Arabidopsis thaliana: one gene and its partners. The main gene of each other region encodes a partner of the protein of the gene in region 3 in a complex. Each region holds a gene or a part of one and is shown on either strand. Other genes may lie near its edges.

Region 1 (8,028 bases), on a different chromosome or scaffold from region 3:
CTAAGTATATATCTTGTTTATACACGCAATGTTTATCTCTTCAAAGTCTAGGCTTTTGATCGAGTCTCCTACTATACTAATACCACCAACCAATTTAAAAAAAAAACAAGTAGAAATTTAACAAAAGTCTAACATCTTCCAAATTTTTTCCATTTTCTAAAATTATGTTTTGAGTTTGACGTTTCTTTGTTATTTATATAAACTATAGTATGCTATCATCTTCAATCAGAAACAGTTCCACAGAAGTTTTCTGTTTTAACTTTTCCTCTGTTTTTGATTTTTCTCTCTGAATCTCTCCTTCATTTCCCCGGGAAATAGTACCAGAAAGGTTATCATCGATCAAACTCTTCTTGGTGGATTCTTCAGAGATGGGTTTAGTCAACGGGAGAGCTTCGTTGACCTTTCTCCTCGCGGCGTTGACCATCATCGCTATGGTCGTCGAGGCTAGGTTTGTGGTGGAGAAAGAAAGCATAAGCGTGCTGAATCCAGAGGAGATGAGGTCGAAGCACGACGGCTCGATAGCCAATTTCGGTTTACCCGATTACGGTGGGTTTTTAATCGGGTCAGTGGTTTATCCGGATAGTAAAACCGATGGATGCTCTGCTTTTGGTAAAACCTTCAAGCCCAAGTTTCCTCGTCCCACTATTCTGCTTCTTGATCGTGGAGGTAAAAAAGTTAAAAACATCTTTAAAAGTTAAAACCTCTGTTTTGTCCATTTACTGTTGTTTTGTTTGAGTTCAAAGATTTAAACTTTAGTCTGCTATGTTATTAGCCAATAGGACTTTATGGGTTATGCTGCAAAAATACATTTTGAGCAGAAAGATATATTTTTTTTACAAAGAAAGATTAAAAGTTTAATCTCTCAAGTAATCTTTGCTCCATTATTGGATGTTTTTAGGTTGCTACTTTGCCTTAAAAGCGTGGCACGCGCAGCAAGCAGGCGCGGCTGCAGTTCTTGTGGCGGATAATGTAGACGAGCCATTGTTGACAATGGATTCACCAGAGGAGAGCAAAGATGCGGATGGTTTCATAGAGAAGCTAACAATCCCATCGGTGTTAATCGATAAATCATTTGGAGATGACTTAAGACAAGGGTTTCAGAAAGGGAAAAACATAGTTATAAAACTAGATTGGAGAGAGTCTGTGCCTCATCCTGATAAGAGAGTAGAATATGAGCTGTGGACTAATAGCAATGATGAGTGTGGTGCACGGTGTGATGAACAGATGGACTTTGTCAAGAACTTTAAAGGTCATGCTCAGATACTCGAAAAAGGCGGTTATACCGCGTTTACGCCGCATTATATTACTTGGTTTTGCCCTTTTCAGTTTATAAACAGTCCACATTGTAAGTCTCAGTGTATAAACCATGGGAGGTATTGTGCTCCTGACCCTGAGGATAATTTCAGAGAAGGGTATGAAGGGAAAGATGTTGTGCTTGAGAATCTGAGACAGCTTTGTGTGCATAGAGTTGCGAATGAGAGTAGCAGGCCTTGGGTTTGGTGGGATTATGTTACCGATTTTCATTCTCGATGTTCGATGAAGGAGAAGAAATACAGCATAGATTGTGCTGAGAGTGTCATCAAATCTCTGAGTAAGAATCTTTTTTCTTTTCCTTTTTAGATTTTAAAGAAAGAGAGTCTTCTTTGTTTAGGTTATGAATCTTTAAGACTTTTTTCAGATTTACCTATTGAGAAGATCAAGAAATGCATTGGTGATCCTGAGGCTGATACAGAGAACCAAGTTCTGAGAACTGAGCAAGTATCTCAGGTTAGTTTCTTAATCTATCTTTATTTAGAGTTTTGAAGAAACATTTCAGAGGTTTGGTTACTAACTGTAACTATTTCAAGATTGGCCGAGGAAACCGGGGAGATGTTACGATATTGCCAACATTAGTCATCAATAACGCTCAATATCGAGGTTTGGTACTTGATATTTTTTCAGTTTCACTCTCTCTTTATGAAGATGCTGAAGTTTCTGTTGTTATTGGTTGCAATTGTGAAGGGAGATTGGAGAGAACCGCGGTTTTAAAGGCGATATGCGCTGGTTTTAATGAAACATCGGAGCCTGCCATTTGCTTAAACACAGGTCTAGAGACAAATGAGTGCCTTGAAAACAATGGTGGTTGCTGGCAGGATACAAAAGCAAACATCACTGCTTGTCAAGTATGTCGTAAAACCGAGCTTACCACATCACATCTCACCACTATATTGAATATCAGTATCAATTTGTTTGGAATTGTTTTGAAAACTAGAGAAAATGTGAAAATCTAGAGAGATATTTTCTAGTCCTATAATACTTGAATCTTTTTTGTTTGATCAGGACACATTCAGAGGAAGACTCTGCGAGTGTCCGGTTGTAAAAGGTGTTCAATATAAAGGAGACGGGTACACTTCATGTACACGTAAGTTGTTCACACATTTCACACAACATAGCTCTCAAATGTTGAGACCGGTTTCTTGAATAGTCTCTGGTTTGTGATTGAGCTTTGCAGCTTATGGGCCTGCGAGGTGTACTATGAACAATGGAGGTTGCTGGTCTGACACAAGGAACGGCTTAACTTTCTCTGCTTGCTCAGTTTAGTGATTCTCTTGTCATAAGCCAAACCCTCCCTTACAAAGTTCTTGTTTTCAGTTCAATCATCTCTTTGTTATTTATGAAAAATTAGGACTCTGTATCTACTGGCTGCAAATGTCCTGAAGGTTTCCAAGGCGACGGTTTGACGTGTGAAGGTACATAACTCTTAACTTATCGATTAAAATCTCGAAAGAAACCACATAATCATATTACCAACAATGTAATTATGTTTTCTGATTTGGCTCTATTGCAGATATTAACGAATGTAAAGAGCGTTCGGTATGTCAATGTAGCGGTTGCAGATGCAAGAACTCATGGGGTGGATACAAATGCAGCTGTTCTGGTGACCGGCTTTACATAAACGATCAAGATACTTGTATAGGTAAAATTTTATCAATCAAGATTTAAGAGTACTCAAATTCCATAACAGTATCTAATTAATATACATTGATGATTGTTTGTTACAGAGAGATATGGATCCAAAACGGCATGGTGGCTCACATTCTTGATACTGGCTATCGTTGCAGTAGCCGGTTTAGCTGGTTATATATTCTACAAATACCGGTTCAGGGTACTACTACTCTTTCTGATTCCACAAAAGCATTTTTGTACTTAATAACGGTTTTAGGATTACCAAACTAACTTTTCTTTGGTGTTCCTATTAACAGTCTTACATGGACTCAGAGATTATGACGATCATGTCACAGTATATGCCACTTGAGAGCCAAAGAGCTCGTGAAGTTCCATCAGAAGCCGAGCCTTTTACACTCTAATAGTATATGACCAAAGTAACCAAAACTGTCATACACAAAGAAATGTTTGAGATCAATTAATGTACATATGAATTATACTGTAAAAATAAAAGAGTGAGATAGAGTTGTGTATATTTTCATGGCAAAAAAATAAATAATTTGGATGTAAAGAGACTTTTGAAGAAAATAAAACAAATATTGCTTTCATTGAGAGTTGAACTCAAGACCTCCCGCTTACTAAACGGGTGCTCTAACCAACTGAGCTATGAAAGCTTCTTGCAACATATTATTCCAAATAAATTATATCGTAAACTAAGAGTTAAAATCTTGAAAACAAAGGATAACGATCTTCGTCTCCCTCTGCTAAACCCATTTTCTTCTGTTGAGGAATGGCTTCTTCAGTCTCTCTTCAGTTCCTGACCAACACCTTTATCTCCAAACCTCAGGTTCTTAATCTTATCTCTCTGTATCACCTAATGTTTCTATGTCATGTGTGTGTGTGTGTGTCTGTCTTTGTCTGAATTTTCTGAGTACTCCTCATGTTTTTTCCGGTCGGACAAAGGGTTTCTGCAACGGAATTGTGTCAGCACCAAGACCCAGAAGCAATTTATTAAGAGACAGACAAAATGGTGTACGACCCATCAAAGTTGCGTCTATTGAGACACAACCTTTCCCTCTGTTTCAATCTCCTGCTTCCGAAGAATCTTCCTCGTCCGAGGTTAGGATTTTCAGTTTTGAGTGTTTTAGGGTTTATAGAGTTCTAAAAGGCAGTACCTTTGACAATTCTTTGCATTGCCCCTATCTGGGAGATTGATTTAGAGTACAAATGAGTTCTAAAGGTAGTACCTTTAGACAATTCTGTTCATTGCCCCCATATGTGATATTGATTTAGGGTACATATGAGTTCTTAAGGCAGTAACTTTAGACAATTCTGTGCATTGCCTCCATCTGTGAGATTGATATAGGGGACTTCTTAAGGCAGAAACTTTAGACAATCTTGTGCATTGCCCTCATCTGTGAGATTGATGTAGGGTACAAATGAGTTCTAACGGCAGTAACTTTAGACAATTCTGTGCATTTCCCTCATATGTGAGATTGATTTAGGGTTTTTGTCTTTTGTTTCTTCACTAGCTGGAGACAGCAGATCCGGATTTCTACAAAATTGGCTATGTTCGAAGTGTGAGAGCTTATGGAGTTGAGTTTAAAGAAGGTCCAGATGGTTTTGGTGTCTATGCTTCTAAGGATATCGAACCTCGCCGTCGAGCTAGAGTCAGTCTTCTTAGTTAAAAAGTTGACAACTTTTTGTTTTGTTCTTCTCTTTAGATTATTTTGTTTTCTTTTCTCTCTGCAGGTGATTATGGAGATTCCTCTTGAACTGATGATAACCATTAGACAGAAGCACCCTTGGATGTTTTTCCCTGATATTGTACCAATTGGTCATCCTATTTTCGATATCATTAACTCGACTGATCCTGAGGTAGTAACACATTTGTGCTATTTCGATATCATCAACTCGAAAGTTCTTATCTTTCTCAAAGTCCTTTCACATTTGTGCTTACAGATTGATTGGGATATCAGATTAGCGTGTCTTCTGTTATTCTCTTTTGATCGAGATGATCACTTCTGGCGGCTCTATGGCGATTTCCTGCCGGCTGCTGATGAGTGCAGCAGCTTGCTTTTAGCTACAGAGGTGGATTGAATTGATATGATTGCCATTTGAAACTGGTCACATTTACTTGTGTCTTTAAACTAATGCTTGATGATATCTAATTCTGTGTGTTTTTCTATAGGAAGACCTTGCGGAGCTTCAAGATCCTGATCTTGTTTCAACTATCAGACAACAACAGAAACGAATCCTAGATTTTTGGGAAAAGAATTGGGTAATGAGGCCTTATATATGTGTTTCCAGTATATCTTGACATTTGGTTATTGCTTTGTTTTTCATTGGCAAATTGTATTCCGTCTCAGCATTCAGGTGTTCCTCTCAAAATCAAAAGGCTTGCCGAGGATCCAGAAAGATTCATATGGGCGGTTAGTATGGCACAGACACGATGCATCAGTATGCAAACTAGGGTCGGTGCTTTGGTTCAGGAATTAAATATGATGATTCCTTATGCTGGTAAGGAAGAGCATGTTGTGTAGTTATTGATAAATTAAGATTTAGTATCAATGAACTTTTTGTTGAGGAACTAAATAAGAATCTCACGATTGATCATTCTCTGCAGACATGCTAAACCACTCATTTGAACCAAACTGTTTCCTACATTGGCGTCCTAAAGATCGCATGCTGGAGGTTATGTCAAATGCTGGTCAAGACATTAAGAAAGGCGAAGAGGTAAGAGACTCAAATGTTCCTAAGTGTCAGCCTCACTTCACTGCTTTATCTATCTTCTTATAATGCTTTTCACAGATGACGATTAATTACATGCCAGGCCAGAAAAACAACATGCTTATGGAAAGATACGGCTTCTCAACTCCTGTGGTAATGCTTTTTACGACAATCACATTCATCTTACACAAACTATGTTTCCTTTGCAAGTTTTCTCGTTTATTCAGTTTTTCTGGTCTGCTGCAGAATCCGTGGGATGCTATAAAGTTCTCTGGAGATTCTCGCATCCATTTAAATTCCTTTTTATCGGTCTTCAATATTTATGGTCTTCCTGAAGAATATTACCATGACAGTAAGTTCCTTTTCTTCTGTTTCCTCTCTATTCCTTGACAAAAGATGGAGAAATGAGCACCAATGTTACCTAAATCTGTGGCAGGCGAGTTATCGAGGGGCGATACTTTTGTTGATGGAGCAGTTATCGCTGCAGCAAGAACATTACCTACTTGGTCAGACATAGATCTTCCTCCAATACCGAGTGCGGAAAGAAAAGCAGTTAAAGAATTGCAAGATGAATGTCGAAAGATGCTTGCGGAATATCCCACAACAGCAGAGCAAGACCAGAAGTTGCTAGGTATTACACTAAAGATATATACACCAATGTGTTATTATCTATTATCGCTCATATACTAAAACTTAAGCTTTCCCTCTTGTTGTTGTGACAGATTCAATGTCAGAAGCAAGGACAACATTTGCAACAGCGGTTAAGTATAGAATGCACAGAAAGATGTTCATCGGAAAAATTATCAAGGCACTTGACATCTATCAAGAACGGTTACTCTATTGATTCAAGCAAAAAATAATTATGAGCTGAGTGAGATTCATACTTGGTGCTCACTCCCTTGAGCTACTTAGAAACTGCACCATGTAATTGAAAGGTTCCTGTTTTTTTTTTTGTTTAGTGTAAGGTTATGTATTTGTATGGAACAGTTAGACTAAGTGTGTTAGTTTGTTTTAATCGCAATCACAAACAAATCATAACCTCTTCTTTTCTTGGCTGCTTTAATGAGTTTGATTAGCCAACAAACGCTTTGGAATCATCTGTGTTTTTTTTTTCTCTTTTGATTAATTCATGTTCATGTTTTTAGTCCCTAAGCATGATTAGTGTCTCAAATGTTTTAGGGTAATTGTGTCTCTTACGCCGAACTATAATGTTGATTAGTCTCAATAATTGATTATTACTTATACTATTTATTAACCTTGTGGTTACACTAATCAATCAAATCATATTGCGTTTCTTCTACTCTTTGTCTAACATTACTATTTTCAAAAAAAGTTACGGTCCAAACCAAACAAACCTACTCTGAGTTATACAGAACCATAAGCAATCTATTTCTTACCTTTGGCTACTTATTTGATACTTTACATTGACTAACTTGATTCTTAATAATTATCTTCAATATGTTGAATATTTTATTTTTGAAGTAAGACCACTATGCGTTTCATAATTCTTGCCATGCATAATGAAATTATTCCTTTGAATTTAAGATTAATTAAAGTATAAATCAACCAAACAATAGACAAAAAAAAATAAAAAAAAATAAGCATCTTGATCTTTTTGGTGGATCGAAGATAATTCCTTTGTCTCATTCTTTTGGATTTAGAATCTCGTTCAGTAGAATATTAACATTTTTAATTATAGATTATCAATTATCGAACAAGTTGTTGTACGTAAACTTGATTCGATCTAGCGTTATTACAGTCAACCAAAATTTATATAATAATAACAATTTATGAAAATGACAATATTATTCGATGTATTATTCCTTTTTTCCTATAATTAGATAGGTGTGATTAAATTCAAGCTAGATTCCGAATCGACAACAACATATTATATCTATTATTAACCTCAATTTTTGAAGGCAAAAAACACACGAAATTATTCAAAACTCACGAGTTGATTCTTTACTTCGATGAACATATAAATTGGGAAAGTATCACCGAACTTATTTGGGTAATAAAGAAAAAGATGGATGAAAAAATTATGTTTGCAAATTTTAATAAGAATTATGTTTGACTTGGTAATAAAATATAGGGCATAATCATATGATGCCATGTTAATGTACGATCATACCACAACTGCTCTCCTTGTCGTGAAAAGGTTGAAGTGATGAGAAGCTAACACACTTTGTGACATAACCAAAGCCAAAAATATATACTTCAACCAAGTCATTTTCTCAACCACTCTTTTCTCCTTGTCCAAGGTCAAAGCCATGCATCACCATTTTATTTTCTATTATTCATTATTGTTACTTTTCCTTTATATAACTAATAAAAGGTCTATTACTAATAAACAACTAAACTTTTCTTTTCTTT
Region 2 (5,995 bases), on a different chromosome or scaffold from region 3:
GAATAATAGTTTTATTAAAAGATTTATAATCACATCAATTTAAAAGTTTTATTTCAAATGATTATTTAATTTTTATAGATTTCATATATTATAAATATTATAAAACATTTTTCCTAAATATTTTAAATGTTTAATTAAATATAATATTTATCTTTTAATCAAGTATATATTAATTATGTCCTAAGATTTCTCATTTTTTAAGTAATTGAAATTGATGGAAATATAATAGATAAGGAAATGCTACAAATTAGGAATATTAATTAATTGATAATAATTGATAGCAATGGCATCTTTTGTAAATAAGTTTAAACTTGAGGATTTATTTGCTAAAATGGCTGCAAAAATGTATATATAGATAACAGTGTATTAATTAGGGGTAAAACAATAAAAAAATTTTTTTTCTTAATTTGTGTGAAATGAACTAAAAGGATAAGTAATATAAAACAGAGGGAAACGCGTTTTAAATTCCTTTTAATTTGGTCTCAATAGTTACAAAATATGTTTACTTGGCGTGAAAAGATTGCACCAAACCGTTTTATATCACTTATATAACAACATTCATCAGGTAGTTATGTTTGCCTTTTTTGAGTTTTAATTAAAATCGGATGAAAAAAGAAAAGTTACAAGATAACGTTTTAAAATGTTAGTCTCAATAGTTACAAGATTTAACATTAATTCTTTTTAATTTGGTCTCAGTACTTAATATTAATGGCTAGATGCCAAATGTCATTTGAACGGAATTTAATCAAAAGTTAAATAATAAAGACGAAGAAACAAATCTCATATTGTCTAAAATAAAATTTCTTAAAAATTTTTTTAAACAGAATCTATAACTTTTTATTATTATTTTAATCTTTCTAGATTTAGCTATTGAATACCCCTTCCTAAATTAAAACATATGGATTCTCTCAAGAGAGGAAACAATAATGGTATAACTTAATTATGGAGAATTCACATATTCGTTTTTGCTTTGACTATATTGATTGTCCATATTTTAGTTGATTACGGATTCATCTAGTCAATGTGATGCGTTATCTTCATAATTACGATTGACTACTATATATCTCTGTCTTCGTATATATGTGTATCTCAACTTATACTATAAAAATCAATTCACATATCACCAAAACAAAACAAAAATGAGAGAATCTGACTTAAGGATGAAGCTAGTGATACTAGTATCTTTCTTGCTCGTTCTCCCAATGTTTTCTTCAGGTATATAGATCTGATCAACTAACATATGCAAACTTATAGTAGCTTTAACATTTTATATAGGTCAATATAGAACTCCGAATTGAATAAATATGCTTCATATTTTTGTTAGGGATCGTTGAGACTTTGCATCATGACAACATCAACCGCAAGGTATTAACAATCACGGTTCTAAAAGCGTTATATATTTGATTACAAATATGCATCAAAACTAAAAACAAAAAGATATAAAACTTGTTGATTTAAAAAGGTTAAAGAGATGGTCATGAATGGAAGAAGAATCGATCTGGAGATGGACTACGCTGGGCCGCATCTAAGACCTCCCAAGCCATCCGACCCTACAATTCCAGGAACACAAGTACGTGCCCTATAGCAAAAATGAAGTATTACGAAAAGTGTCTTCCTTTTTTAATAGTGTATGAGTTTGGTTTTGAAAGGTTGATGAGGTTGTGACAAAGGAACCAACTGTCTATAACAAAGAAGACTATGGGGACTGGTCTCCAAGACCAATCCCAAAACGACCAATGCCATATGTACCTCCTCCTCCTCCTCCACCGACACGACGACCTCCTTTCACCACAAATCACTAGACCGTTACTTTTACTAAACTCTTGTCATTAGACTTTCGTCTTCATCTAGTAAATCTAAATAAATAAAATGAAATTTGGCCAAGAAAACAACAAAGCTGTGAATGCATTGATTTGGTTTTGGTAATACAAGAACAAAAGCTGTAAAGTACATTGACACTTTTTGTTATAATATATCAAGTGTAGTACTCCAACAAATAGCCAGGACCGGGTTTGTAAGGATCAGCTTCTACATAAGCCTCAGGGCGATCAAAGCCGAGATCGTTCACACGGTTGCTTAGAACATGAAAGATGGCTTTTTTGGAACCTCCATATTCGTCTCTGTTCTTGTCCACGTACTCTGTTGCTTCAGCTGCTACGCTATTGACAAATTCAAACCGATTGTCTTCCCTCAAAAGAAGCTGCTCTATGTCCATTGTCATTACCTTCCCAACTTCTCTTATCTTCCTTACTTGTTCTTCCACAAATGGAACTCTTTGCATTTTGTAACGCAACATATCGTCCTTCTTCGTCTACAGACAAAACAGGAGAACGACATAGAGAGATTAAAAGCGGGACAAATATAAACAAAGATTTTGCATTGTTCTGGCTTTGGTAATTATTGAAATCTCAAAACCTCATGAACCTGATAGGATCAAACAACAGAAACTGATAGTTTGTAGAATATAGTACAAGTAAAAAGATCACACTAATATTTTATGTAATGTGTAACTCCCACCTAAAAATCCCAGTATCTCAGATAAGACAATCTCCAATTTCTTGCATGTGCCATAGAGATAAGACCATGGTTACTTGAATATATATAAGTAAACACTAACTAGAGGTAAAAAGCCATGTTTCTTTAAGTTCATCAACAGTATAAGAACTAAAGCTAGCGTCTGAAATGAGCATAGTTCAACAAAGACACTTTTGAAACAGGTGTGTAAGCTAATTTGGAATCAAGAAGGGTAAACTAGAAATCGCAAAAACTCAGAGAAGACAATCTCCATCTCTCCTTCTATGCATCATATCAATTACTATGACTAAGTAAAGACTAACTAGAGTTAATAGTCATGCCTCATCAGTGAGTTAAAGCTAATCTGTGATCCTACTAAAAATTGCAACTTTTTAGAAATGTCGTCTCCAAGCAAAGAAAAACCCTTATTTTGATTCCTGATTCGACTTATGTCATAAACATGAAACTGGAAAATCACCAAAATATCAAGTTTAGTACTTACCAATGTTCTCCTCCGCCAAACACGGCGTCCATTATCATCTCTCTGAATCCCACAAGAAACCTGAAAAAATCAACCAGATTCACTCAAAACTCTCCCCCAAAAACCCACAAATTCGTATATATATCAACCATTCAAAACCTGAGACTGAAATGTGCATCGCAAATTCCCACTTCTCGTATCAATAATCTGAATATACAATAATTGAAAATGAGAAATCACATTGACATCAAAGGATGATTATGAGAGAAGCAAAGGAGGGATTTTTACAGGTAAAATCGAAGATGGAGAAGAACAGGTGAAGGAAGCCATTGATACACAGTGAATAGATAGAACCGGATCCTATTTTATATGTAAGCTTCTCCGGTTCGGTTTAATGGTTTATCTTTGGTTGTGTTCGTATTTGGACAAATCATTCCTAACCGAACCGGGCATTTTTTTTTCTCGTCATTTTATCTATACAATAATAATTCAACTTGCACAAAAAAAAAATCTAAAACAAATCAAAACTAACAACAAATCTAAAATCATATAATTTTACTTGGTACACAAAAATAATATTTTTCAGAAATCAATCAATCTAATAATAGTTAGTGGGAACCCTCTATTGTGACTTTGTGAGCTATGTATATACATAAGACATTACAAGATGGAACCTCAACATAGTTGATAAGCAAAGAAATTAACTCTATCGATCACCGGATGAGAAAATGGCTTCTAGGAATCATCTCTTAATATGTTGTGTTCTCTTAGCTATGATCATGATCGGGCATGCTCAAACCAACCGGAAACTTCTTGACGATAATGTACCATCATCTTATTTTCCATCGATGGAGTCTCGTCAGGTTTTTCTTCCTTCTTCTCATCGTTCACTTGTTGCTGAGCATTACGACAGATCACCACCTCCACCACCACCCAAAAGATCAGAAGTTGAACCCCAAACTGATGGTGTCTAGACCATTGAGTGATGGTGAGAATCGGCCCTGATGAAAAGACTCGTGAGTTGGTACCATGTTTTGAAAGAGCATACATATGTTTTGATGTTTGGTTTTATGATCCGGTTTATAAGAGCTACCTAATTTTTGAAGGCTTGGTTTGATTTAGTTTTCTTTGCTTTCTAAAGTAAAATCTCCGGAAAAGTTGTCTCTGTTTTTTTCTTCTTTATTTTTATCTGTATACGTGTACTTCATTCTTGGTGACAATAAATTTGACTTGTTTCAAATTAATTAATGTAATATTTGTAAATGGTAAGTTAATACAACAGAAAAGTCGATGATACTATCTTTTTGAATAGGTAGATTTACCGAACGAATACCACATTACCACGGCTTAAAAAAAAAAAAAGAAAAAAGGGAGGATTAGTCTCAAACATTCTTAATCAATTTCAAAAACTGGATAAATAAAAGCAAAAGTTTCAAAAACATAATTATTCTTGCAACAGTAATTGATGCAAAATATATATTAAACTGTCAAATAATATTTCGAGAACGAAATTGTATATATAAACTTGCTGTTAATTTGGTTAAAATCGGCAGTAAAATAATTCACAGCAAGTTTTACTACGCTTGTAAACAAAACTGCATTCACACTCTGACAGTCATAAGGTATACACAAAATCATAGAATCATGGACATATTTTGTAACACATATATTGACAATTTGACATTACGTAAATGCAATTAAAACTGGAATGTAATTTCCGGTTTACCAGTCAACATACAAAACCAGCTTTCGGTTTAATATTCGTCCAAATAAGTGTAGAGCGTATCGTCCTTCTTTGTTTTGCGTCGGCTAAGTAGCGCCTTTAGCAGCCGTTTGCTCTTGCTCGGTTGTTGTTGATGCTCTGGTTCTTTCTGAGCTTCTTTCTCGAACGCAACCCGAACCGAAGCCGATCTTCTTGGTTCTGACGGATACTGAGCCAGAAAATATCAAGAATCAACCGTTAGAGATAGAGCCTAGAAGTGAGTGTTTTTGAAATGTAACCGAAGCTTACCCGTTTAGGAGTTGGAGTTACCGCTCTACTCTTGCTCGGGGTTGTTGGCCGGCTGATTGATGACGGTCGGATAGCAACCGAACCAGATCTTAGCAGCGGAAACCGATGTGGTGATACTGCTCGCTTATCTATTTTACCATGCACACTGTTTAAAGGTTCTGTTTACATATTAAGCCAAAAACGGCAATTTCAAGGTGAAGCTGTCTTTTACCTTGTTCTTTCTTTGGTGCGGTGGCGATAGAGGAGAACGAAAAGGTTGCTGAACGTTGAGGTTTCCGTTGAGAGGGAGACTGAAGTATCGGTTTTCTGCAAAAAGCGATAAAAGTTTAGTACTTCTCGGTCATTTGACAAGGGAACTCACTATGAGTACTGGACTATACCTAACAGGTGGTGGAGGCGTTTCACGAATTGTAGCGCGAACAGCTTTAAGAATTCACAACAAGAAACATATCAAATCAAGAATCAAGGCAATTTCTAAGTAAATGAAATGGCAATTTATACCATTTCTGAATTGGTTCCAGTCATCTTCTCCATCAAAACTACCTTCAACATTCTTAAGCTTTGCGAGGTTGCCACCTCTTTTGATTTCACCAGCTGATAGAGAATTTCGTTTTTGTTAGCTGAGTCCCAAAACCGACAAATAAGAGAACGAAAGTTTGTAGAAACATATAGGGAACTTTGGAGAGTCGAAACTTACAAGGCAAGAAGTACCGCTTGTGGAACTTTGGAGTGTCGATCACAAGTGATTGCTGGGAACGACCTTCATGATCCATGTACTCTTGGCACATCCGTAGCCTCTATACACATATAAGAAAGTTCAGTAATACAAACAAGAATCATTCTCAAAAATGCCAACTGAATAAAACTAAAGCAGAAATATCTGTCCATTTGAAGAATAATGGATACCTGTTCAATGCAAGATACTCGCAGTTCGGTTCCTGCTACTTCATCGACTTTTTCATCTACAAAGTCATTTACTTTATATGTAA
Region 3 (7,870 bases):
GGGTGAGTACTCTCATAAGTATCGGACTGTTACAGGAACTTATAATGCTATTCTGCTTGGTATATTCTAATTCACTGTGGATCACAAAATTTCCATTGAGTAAGTTAATAAATAGCAAAGTTTGGTGTTTCGAACTCCAAAAGTATGCTATATTAGCATCAAAAGGGTCAATCGTTAGCGGTAAATAATCGAAAGGAGTTTCAATAAAAGTCGGGGAGATCTCAGATACTAATTGCCATTCTCCACTCTTTAGCCTCCATACACATAACTTAGCATCTAAACCTTCATCAGAGACTATGTTCATATACATGAGAAATCCTTGACTAGTTGTGCATGTTCTTATGAATTCGCGATGCTTTTCTAAATCAGGGAAATGAGTAACCCGACACTTATCAGAATTTGTTTCAAAAGCGTAAAAGTCGATGGATATAACAACTTCTGTATCCTCACTATTGCGAACGAGCCAATGAAGATTTTCGTTTAAGCTAATGGGATGGTAAAAATCACGATTGAACGAAAAAGAGAAAAGAAAATGGATAGTGTTGAGACTCGACAACCGTGTCTCGGACGAATATATCTGGACTGAAAACTTATTTTCGTTATTATGGATCTTTTTTGCCTTTCATCAAACATAACAACTTTGTAACTCAAAACGACGCCGTTTTTAGTTTGTGTTACTATTCCCAAGGGACAGAAAAAATTATGCTCGAGAGCACGACGATTGATTTCTAAGCATTGATGTGAAATTGGATTAGCTAGGTATAACGATTGATCCTGAGGATAGACTCGACATCGATCAAAATAAACCCCATATCGGTGTTGTAAGGAACAACTTTGGCTTCTCGGTATATGTTCATTTCGAATTTATCGGTCATAAAAGACGAGATGTAAGAGTACTGGTACGATTAAATCCCCAAGTGTTGCATCTATGATGAGCCACAAGTTCTATCTTGTAACGCCTACACATGAGCGACCATGAAGAAGAATGGTGCAGAGACATGAACATGACACGAAAATGTGGAGACTCGATAATAGATTTCCACTGCTTACAAACCAGTTTAGAAGTCGTGATCATTTTTAGTGGTAATTGTGCAAGTATAATTGTCCATAGATCATCTGTGAAGAAACATATTCTTATTCATATGTGTTATTGGGATTTACTAAGGTGTATTTAAATACTGAATTTCACATAAATTTATTTCTCAATAATATCTAGCTTTTGCTGATAAATCTACGTAACATAATGGTATGTAAAAAAAAAGTAGATTATAAATTTAATATATGTGTACATAATAAACAGTAAGAGATTTGATCAAATTATATCTTTTCATGCTATTTAGTATTGTAATTTTCTGAAATAATCAATTATCCTAAAACAAGTTCATAAATAAAAAGTTAATATCCTAAACAATATTTACGTTTAATATATTTTCTCTATTAATACTAGATTTGATGGAAATTTTATCTATTTTAGTTATTTTATATAAAAAGTTTTTTTGGTTTATAATAATGAAAAACGTGATTAATGATAAAATCATAATAAGAGCGAAGGGCCCATTATAACAGCATTTATTTGGGCCGTTGTTGGTCTCAGGTTCCCGCTCTTTTTTATCGATCGAGGCGCCAAAACACAAAGAATCGATTATATGTTGTCATCTTTCAGATTGTCAATTCAAAGAAGACGATCAGATCTAATTGACTCGAGAGAGAGAGAGAGAGACGTATGTTTGGGAGGCTGAGACCACCGCCGTCGCCGCCGGATTGTCTGGAGAGATATCCGGCGAAGATCATCAAAGACGATCCTCTCTCCGTCTACGGTATAATAAATACACACTCTTTCCATTTTCATGTGATTCTGATTGTCCAATAGAAATCTCTAGGTTTTGAAATCCTTGGTTTCTTTTGATGGCATTGTAGAGTCAACACTGTTGAAACTTAAGCAAGGGTCAACAAGACAGGACACTACTTCATCAGAAACAGAAGGTGAAGAGAATCTGTCATCAACATCATCGTCTCATGTCTTGTCTTCGGATACACAATTAGGAGACACTCATGATGCAATGGCTATAGACTCGTGTGAAAGCTCGAAACAGATAAAGAGCAAGAACCCATCAGTACTATCCATGTTTAGCAAGTACAAGAATCAAGCTCAAGCACGAAACATGAAGACAGAGACTCAGGAATGATTTGTAAACAAATGTATCCCAAGTTCATGTGTGTTGTACTTTGATTATGTACAATTTAACTACATTGTTAGTAAGGAGTCTATATAGATGCCTGTATCAAAACATCTCTCAATCATGTGTTTATTACTTTAGCCTAAACAAGCTTTATGATCTTTAACCAACGGTGTTGATAGTACTGGTCATGTAGGGGTTCATCCATAACTAAACGTCTAAACCTTATATTAAAATGGGTCTAACTGATCAATCAAAAACATTTGGGGTCAAAACAATATATTGGATAAATATAAGGGTTCATCAAAAAAAACTTAACATTTCTTCTTCACTGTAAAATGAAATAAAGCTTATCCATACTCAACTTCTTCACTCTCTCTTAAACCTTCAAAAACCCTGAAGAGTGACGAATGAATCATGCAGATTTGCCAAACCAAGCTCAATTTCACTTTCCCTAATCCCACAAACCCTAATTTCTGCAAACCCAAAGCTCTTCAATGGTCACCGCCTCGTCGCATATCCTTGCTGCCTTGTCGTGGATTCAGCTCCGATGAATTCCCAGTCGACGAAACCTTCCTCGAGAAATTCGGACCAAAGGACAAAGACACAGAAGATGAAGCTCGACGACGTAACTGGATCGAACGTGGTTGGGCTCCATGGGAAGAGATTCTCACACCAGAAGCTGATTTCGCTCGTAAATCTCTCAACGAAGGTGAAGAAGTTCCGCTTCAATCGCCGGAAGCGATCGAAGCGTTTAAGATGCTGAGACCATCGTATAGGAAGAAGAAGATTAAGGAGATGGGGATAACAGAAGACGAATGGTATGCAAAGCAATTTGAGATTAGAGGTGATAAACCACCTCCTTTAGAAACATCTTGGGCTGGTCCGATGGTTCTTAGGCAAATTCCGCCGCGTGATTGGCCTCCCAGAGGTTGGGAAGTTGATAGGAAGGAGCTGGAGTTTATTAGGGAAGCTCATAAGTTAATGGCTGAAAGAGTTTGGCTTGAGGATTTGGATAAGGATTTGAGAGTTGGTGAAGATGCTACTGTTGATAAGATGTGTTTGGAGAGGTTTAAGGTTTTCTTGAAACAATACAAGGAATGGGTTGAAGATAATAAAGATAGGTTGGAGGAAGAATCTTACAAGGTTCGTTTTTTTTTTTGAACAATGAGATATTGTTAGCTTAGTGGTGGCTAAGAGAAGGATTCTAATAAAGATGATGTTTTTATTTATACAGCTCGATCAGGATTTTTATCCGGGTAGGAGGAAAAGAGGGAAGGATTACGAAGATGGGATGGTAAATATTATTATGCTACTGGATTTGATTGTTTGATTAGTTTGCTAGATGATGAACTGTTTGTAAGTTAATTGCTTTATTTTTCTTTGTGCAGTATGAGCTTCCCTTTTACTATCCAGGGATGGTAAGAATTCTTATTCTAAGCCTTGTATATTGTAACTAATGATTGGTTTAAATGAGCAATATCGTAATGTCCATGCAGGTTTGTGAAGGCACAGTTACCACTTTACATCTGTATCAGGGAGCGTTTGTTGACATTGGAGGTGTTCATGAAGGGTATGTTTATGTCTCTTTACTTTGTAAAGATAGACTTACCGTGGTTCTTGTATTTAGGGTATATAACGTAATATAATGTTGTCTCTTGTTTCATATGCTTTTTTTGAAAGATGTAAGTTTATGTGTCTATTGGTTTGCAGATGGGTACCTATAAAAGGTAATGACTGGTTTTGGATCCGGCATTTCATAAAAGTTGGGATGCATGTTATCGTTGAAATCACGGTAATCTTAAGGCACATATTCTTCTTTCGCATTTATAAAAATCTGAATGGAAATTGCTTCATTCTCCTTTTTCTTTTGTTCTTTCAGGCAAAAAGAGATCCATACCGGTTTCGGTTTCCCTTGGAGTTGCGCTTCGTCCATCCTAACATAGATCACATGATGTATGTAATTCACACGTATTTAATTCTCTTTACATATCCAGTAAAAATTGGCATTTTGGTTCTGTCCTCAATGGTCTTGGTTATGGTATATGTGTTGACTGTTTTTACATTCCTGCTCCAGATTTAATAAATTTGACTTCCCACCAATATTCCATCGTGATGGGGATACTAATCCAGATGAGATACGGGTCAGTAGAATCCTTTCCTAGAATATCAATCCATTTCGTGTTCTCGTGAAGAGTCTCCCTCTTATCTAATACATTGTTTGTACAGCGAGATTGTGGAAGACCTCCTGAACCTAGAAAAGATCCAGGATCAAAGCCAGAGGAGGAAGGGCTGCTCTCTGATCACCCTTATGTCGACAAGGTATTTTCCTGAGCAAAAGGGTTGGTTATGTGATTTTTGCTTTGTTTACTCATTAGGTTTATTGGCTTTCTAAATTTTGTGAAACCGTCAACACATTTCTTTCCCGTTTGCAGTTGTGGCAGATACATGTAGCTGAGCAAATGATTTTGGGTGATTACGAAGCTAACCCTGCAAAATACGAAGGCAAAAAGCTATCAGAATTATCTGATGATGAAGACTTTGATGAACAAAAGGATATCGAGTATGGCGAAGCTTATTATAAGAAAACCAAATTGCCAAAAGTGATTCTGGTGAGAGTTTCTTCTGGTGTGTTCGTGAAACCATACTGTCTTAAGCTTTGTGATTAAATGTGTTCTATTTCTGGCAGAAAACCAGTGTCAAGGAACTTGACTTAGAGGCTGCATTGACCGAGCGCCAGGTTTAAATTCTCTTCCCTACTTGTCGTCACCAATTTCCTTTAACCCACTGCTACGGAAATATTCTCGTTTGTATTTGTTTATTTTTAATAGATTTCCACTTCACACTGTCTTGGTAACTCCGATTGTCGTCACAGTTCCATTTTAAGGCTTTGCACTTTGTAATTGACACATTGTTGTATGAATCTTTTATACTGATAGTGGTTAATAACTCAATACTCTCCTGTTGTCTTGTGCAGCACCACAATAAACTAATGATGGAAGCTAAAGCAAGAGGAGAAGGATACAAAATTGACAAGCTCAGACGAAATATAGAGATGGACGAGTATGATTTCTTACACTGGCGCCGATCTTTGGAGGAAAGAGAAGCATTGCTCAGAGATATCAGCTCGTAAGTAAAAAAAAGTTCACTTTGATGTTTTTCAAAGAAAGTGTTTAGATGAAGAAGATTTATTTTGCAGTCGGCAAGCACTTGGTTTACCATTGGAGGAACCAGGGAGGTACAAGCCAGGAAGCTTCTTTGGGAAAGACCAGTACGATCCAACAAGTGCATTATATCAGTATGACTACTGGGGAGAGCCAAAGAACTCAGAGATTAGCAAGCAAGAGAGAATGAAGGATGCACACAACAAATCCATTGTTGGGAAAGGCAATGTGTGGTATGACATGTCTTACGATGATGCGATTAAGCAGACAATAGAGAAAAGAAAAGAAGGGTCTACCTTGGCGAGTCAAGAAGAAGAAACAGAGTCAGAGGAAGAAGAAGAGGATGACGATGATTTTGACGATTTTGACTATAGCATTCTGAGTGATGAGAGCAGTATCGGTTACTCGGAACAGCAACCTCTTGTTAACGGTACTCAAGTCTTGACAGACTGATGTTTAAAAGGAAAGTAAAAATAAGAAATTGTCGAGGTTGATTTATTTGAATTTTTGTCTGTTAGGTTTGATCTATTTGATAGTTTTTTTTTTTCATTTCTTCTTATCCCGGAGATAGTAAAATCAGTTTCTTATTAACTTAGCCAGACGTTTGGGATCTTGTAGTACACCGTTGAACGTTAGGAACGTGACGTTTTTTGTTTTTTCTATCAATCGTCGTCAGAGAAGGTAGTCTTGACACCGCAAAATACGCCTAAATGTTTCTCTTGTTTCTTCTGTTTGGGCTCCAAAACATCAACTTCTATCAAAAGGCTTTCTCGTTCGTACCTGGAATATCAAAAACCCTTGTCATCTCTCCGTGTATACCAAAAACTTCACACCATGTGTGCTCTTTGATGACAAAACTCTTAAGGCAAACTCTTACCAAAGCTACTCTGCAAGGTTGTACCTAATTCACAAAAATAATAGCATTAAACTTGTACAATGACATCAAAACTCTAAAGCAATAAGTTAGAGAACCAAATCTCCATAACATGGAAAATCAGTTTACTTGGGTCGGAGAGGGTATGGAGCTATCTCAGCTACGGAGAAGATGAAAACAGAGACGGTTTATTAGCCTGGAAGAGTTCGTTGAGAGCAGCAAAAGAAGTTATAAATATAAACCTTGAAGAGGAAGAGAGCGAGAGAAAAGAGGTGCTCCGAGTTGTATATGCTCGTTAAGGGTTTTCGCTCTTCTTTGTGGGCCTTAAAAGGCTAATAAGCTTCGGCCCAATTTTATTATTCTGTTTAAATCGTCCGTTGACTTGTTTTATTTTATACAACCAAAAACAATCTTCATACATATTGTTTACGGTTTAAGGATGGTGTTTGCAACGTCTCAGTACTCCGCTTCTGATCAGTTAGGTCATTAACAATAGTAACGGAAGATTAAGTAATACTAAAAGATTCTAACAAACAATTTACAAAAGAAAAGTCTCCTTAAAATTCTTAACTAAATTATTATACAATTTATGTCCAATGTAGGTAGACTTGTATTGCTATTTAAAACTCTTAATTTATTTATGTTTTGATTAATTTGATTATATATAACGAAAAATAAATTCAAAAAGATTCTAAAAAACAATTTATAAAAGAAAAGTCCCCGGCTAAACACTATTCATTTGACCCTTAAAAACTCGATTATAGTATCATACAATGTCTTTGATTTTAGTCTTGTAGCGCTATTTCTTATCCGGAGATGGTAAAATCAGTTTCTCATTAACTTAACGATTTGGAATTTGGTACACACCGTTGATTTGAATGTTTTGAATCTGACGTCTTCTTCTTTTTTTGTCAAAAAATGGAACTGATGTTTAAGTTCCAAAAACACAGCTACACATAGTTAAACATTGGTCCATGTGGCATTTCTATTATGGCATAGATGATATATAGATGTCCCACGTATCATTAGATATCGCACTTTTACCGCAGGTAGACTGTAGTACATTCAAAGCTGTAGTACAACATTTATTCCTCACCCTCCTTTTTTGTTTTCTTTTGCTCCGACGTATCACGTTTATTGGGTCGTTTACTTTCTTATATTCCTTGTTTCCTCAAAACGTGAGTGCCGACAAAAGAAAAGAAAATATCAAAATCAAAATGTGATGAGTTCGACTGAAATATCTCTTCAAGTGAGTAACTAGCTCAAAGTAAGACCGGTTCGCTCACACTTTTTTGTAGCAATCAAGATGGTATGTTTCACATTTTTTGGACCATTTTGGAATTTGCATGTTTGGACGATCACTCGGACCGTAATTTCCAACCGTCCTTGCCGTGAAATCTCACAACATGCGTCCAATATAGGTGGGAACCGCACCGACGATACGCATTAAATACTTACAAAATTTTCCTTCATTAATTATTTTTAAGCAACAAGCTTGAAATTTAGCATCACAAATGCGTCAAGAACAAACAAAAGAAAGATGCATTTTTTACAAAAATTCTTAAATAAAAAACTATTTAAAAAACAACCAAAAACAAAGAAGGCATAAGAACAAAAACGACATAAATATATGTTAAACCATTAGAAATCTAATT

Evidence for each region.
Region 1: PDE312 (region 3) and PTAC14 share a complex: the UniProt entries of both Arabidopsis thaliana proteins name them as parts of the transcriptionally active chromosome (TAC) complex.
Region 2: PDE312 (region 3) and PTAC7 share a complex: the UniProt entries of both Arabidopsis thaliana proteins name them as parts of the transcriptionally active chromosome (TAC) complex.

The regions. Positions count from the first base shown.
Region 1 is NC_003075.7:10,875,199-10,883,226, forward strand, and holds PTAC14 (plastid transcriptionally active 14), read left to right. Parts: upstream 1-3,618; 5' UTR 3,619-3,715; coding exon 3,716-3,772; intron 3,773-3,827; exon of another isoform or gene 3,828-3,888; coding exon 3,889-4,044; intron 4,045-4,457; coding exon 4,458-4,595; intron 4,596-4,642; exon of another isoform or gene 4,643-4,677; coding exon 4,678-4,803; intron 4,804-4,887; coding exon 4,888-5,016; intron 5,017-5,116; coding exon 5,117-5,206; intron 5,207-5,294; coding exon 5,295-5,445; intron 5,446-5,551; coding exon 5,552-5,661; intron 5,662-5,736; coding exon 5,737-5,808; intron 5,809-5,901; coding exon 5,902-6,007; intron 6,008-6,091; coding exon 6,092-6,286; intron 6,287-6,377; coding exon 6,378-6,499; 3' UTR 6,500-6,854; downstream 6,855-8,028. Other genes in the region: VSR7 (VACUOLAR SORTING RECEPTOR 7), read left to right, coding at 369-666, 899-1,573, 1,652-1,767, 1,848-1,917, 2,002-2,162, 2,320-2,401, 2,492-2,574, 2,666-2,729 and 3 more. UniProt on the Arabidopsis thaliana protein: Essential for chloroplast development, especially for thylakoid formation. Involved in plastid gene expression, probably by maintaining plastid-encoded RNA polymerase (PEP) activity.
Region 2 is NC_003076.8:8,275,080-8,281,074, reverse strand, and holds PTAC7 (plastid transcriptionally active7), read right to left. Parts: upstream 3,376-5,995; 5' UTR 3,326-3,375; coding exon 3,284-3,325; intron 3,203-3,283; coding exon 3,155-3,202; intron 3,077-3,154; coding exon 2,993-3,076; intron 2,312-2,992; coding exon 1,976-2,311; 3' UTR 1,881-1,975; downstream 1-1,880. Other genes in the region: AT5G24316 (proline-rich family protein), read left to right, coding at 1,140-1,215, 1,325-1,365, 1,463-1,570, 1,650-1,802; AT5G24313 (uncharacterized protein), read left to right, coding at 3,724-3,969; ABIL3 (ABL interactor-like protein 3), read right to left, coding at 4,750-4,926, 5,007-5,134, 5,218-5,312, 5,387-5,429, 5,508-5,600, 5,704-5,803, 5,913-5,995. UniProt on the Arabidopsis thaliana protein: Essential for chloroplast development, especially for thylakoid formation. Involved in plastid gene expression, probably by maintaining plastid-encoded RNA polymerase (PEP) activity.
Region 3 is NC_003074.8:17,959,615-17,967,484, forward strand, and holds PDE312 (Nucleic acid-binding, OB-fold-like protein), read left to right. Parts: upstream 1-2,548; 5' UTR 2,549-2,594; coding exon 2,595-3,323; intron 3,324-3,414; coding exon 3,415-3,474; intron 3,475-3,568; coding exon 3,569-3,598; intron 3,599-3,676; coding exon 3,677-3,750; intron 3,751-3,890; coding exon 3,891-4,133; intron 4,134-4,254; coding exon 4,255-4,321; intron 4,322-4,406; coding exon 4,407-4,499; intron 4,500-4,612; coding exon 4,613-4,789; intron 4,790-4,866; coding exon 4,867-4,917; intron 4,918-5,154; coding exon 5,155-5,306; intron 5,307-5,376; coding exon 5,377-5,794; 3' UTR 5,795-5,999; downstream 6,000-7,870. Other genes in the region: AT3G48490 (uncharacterized protein), read left to right, coding at 1,724-1,817, 1,918-2,186.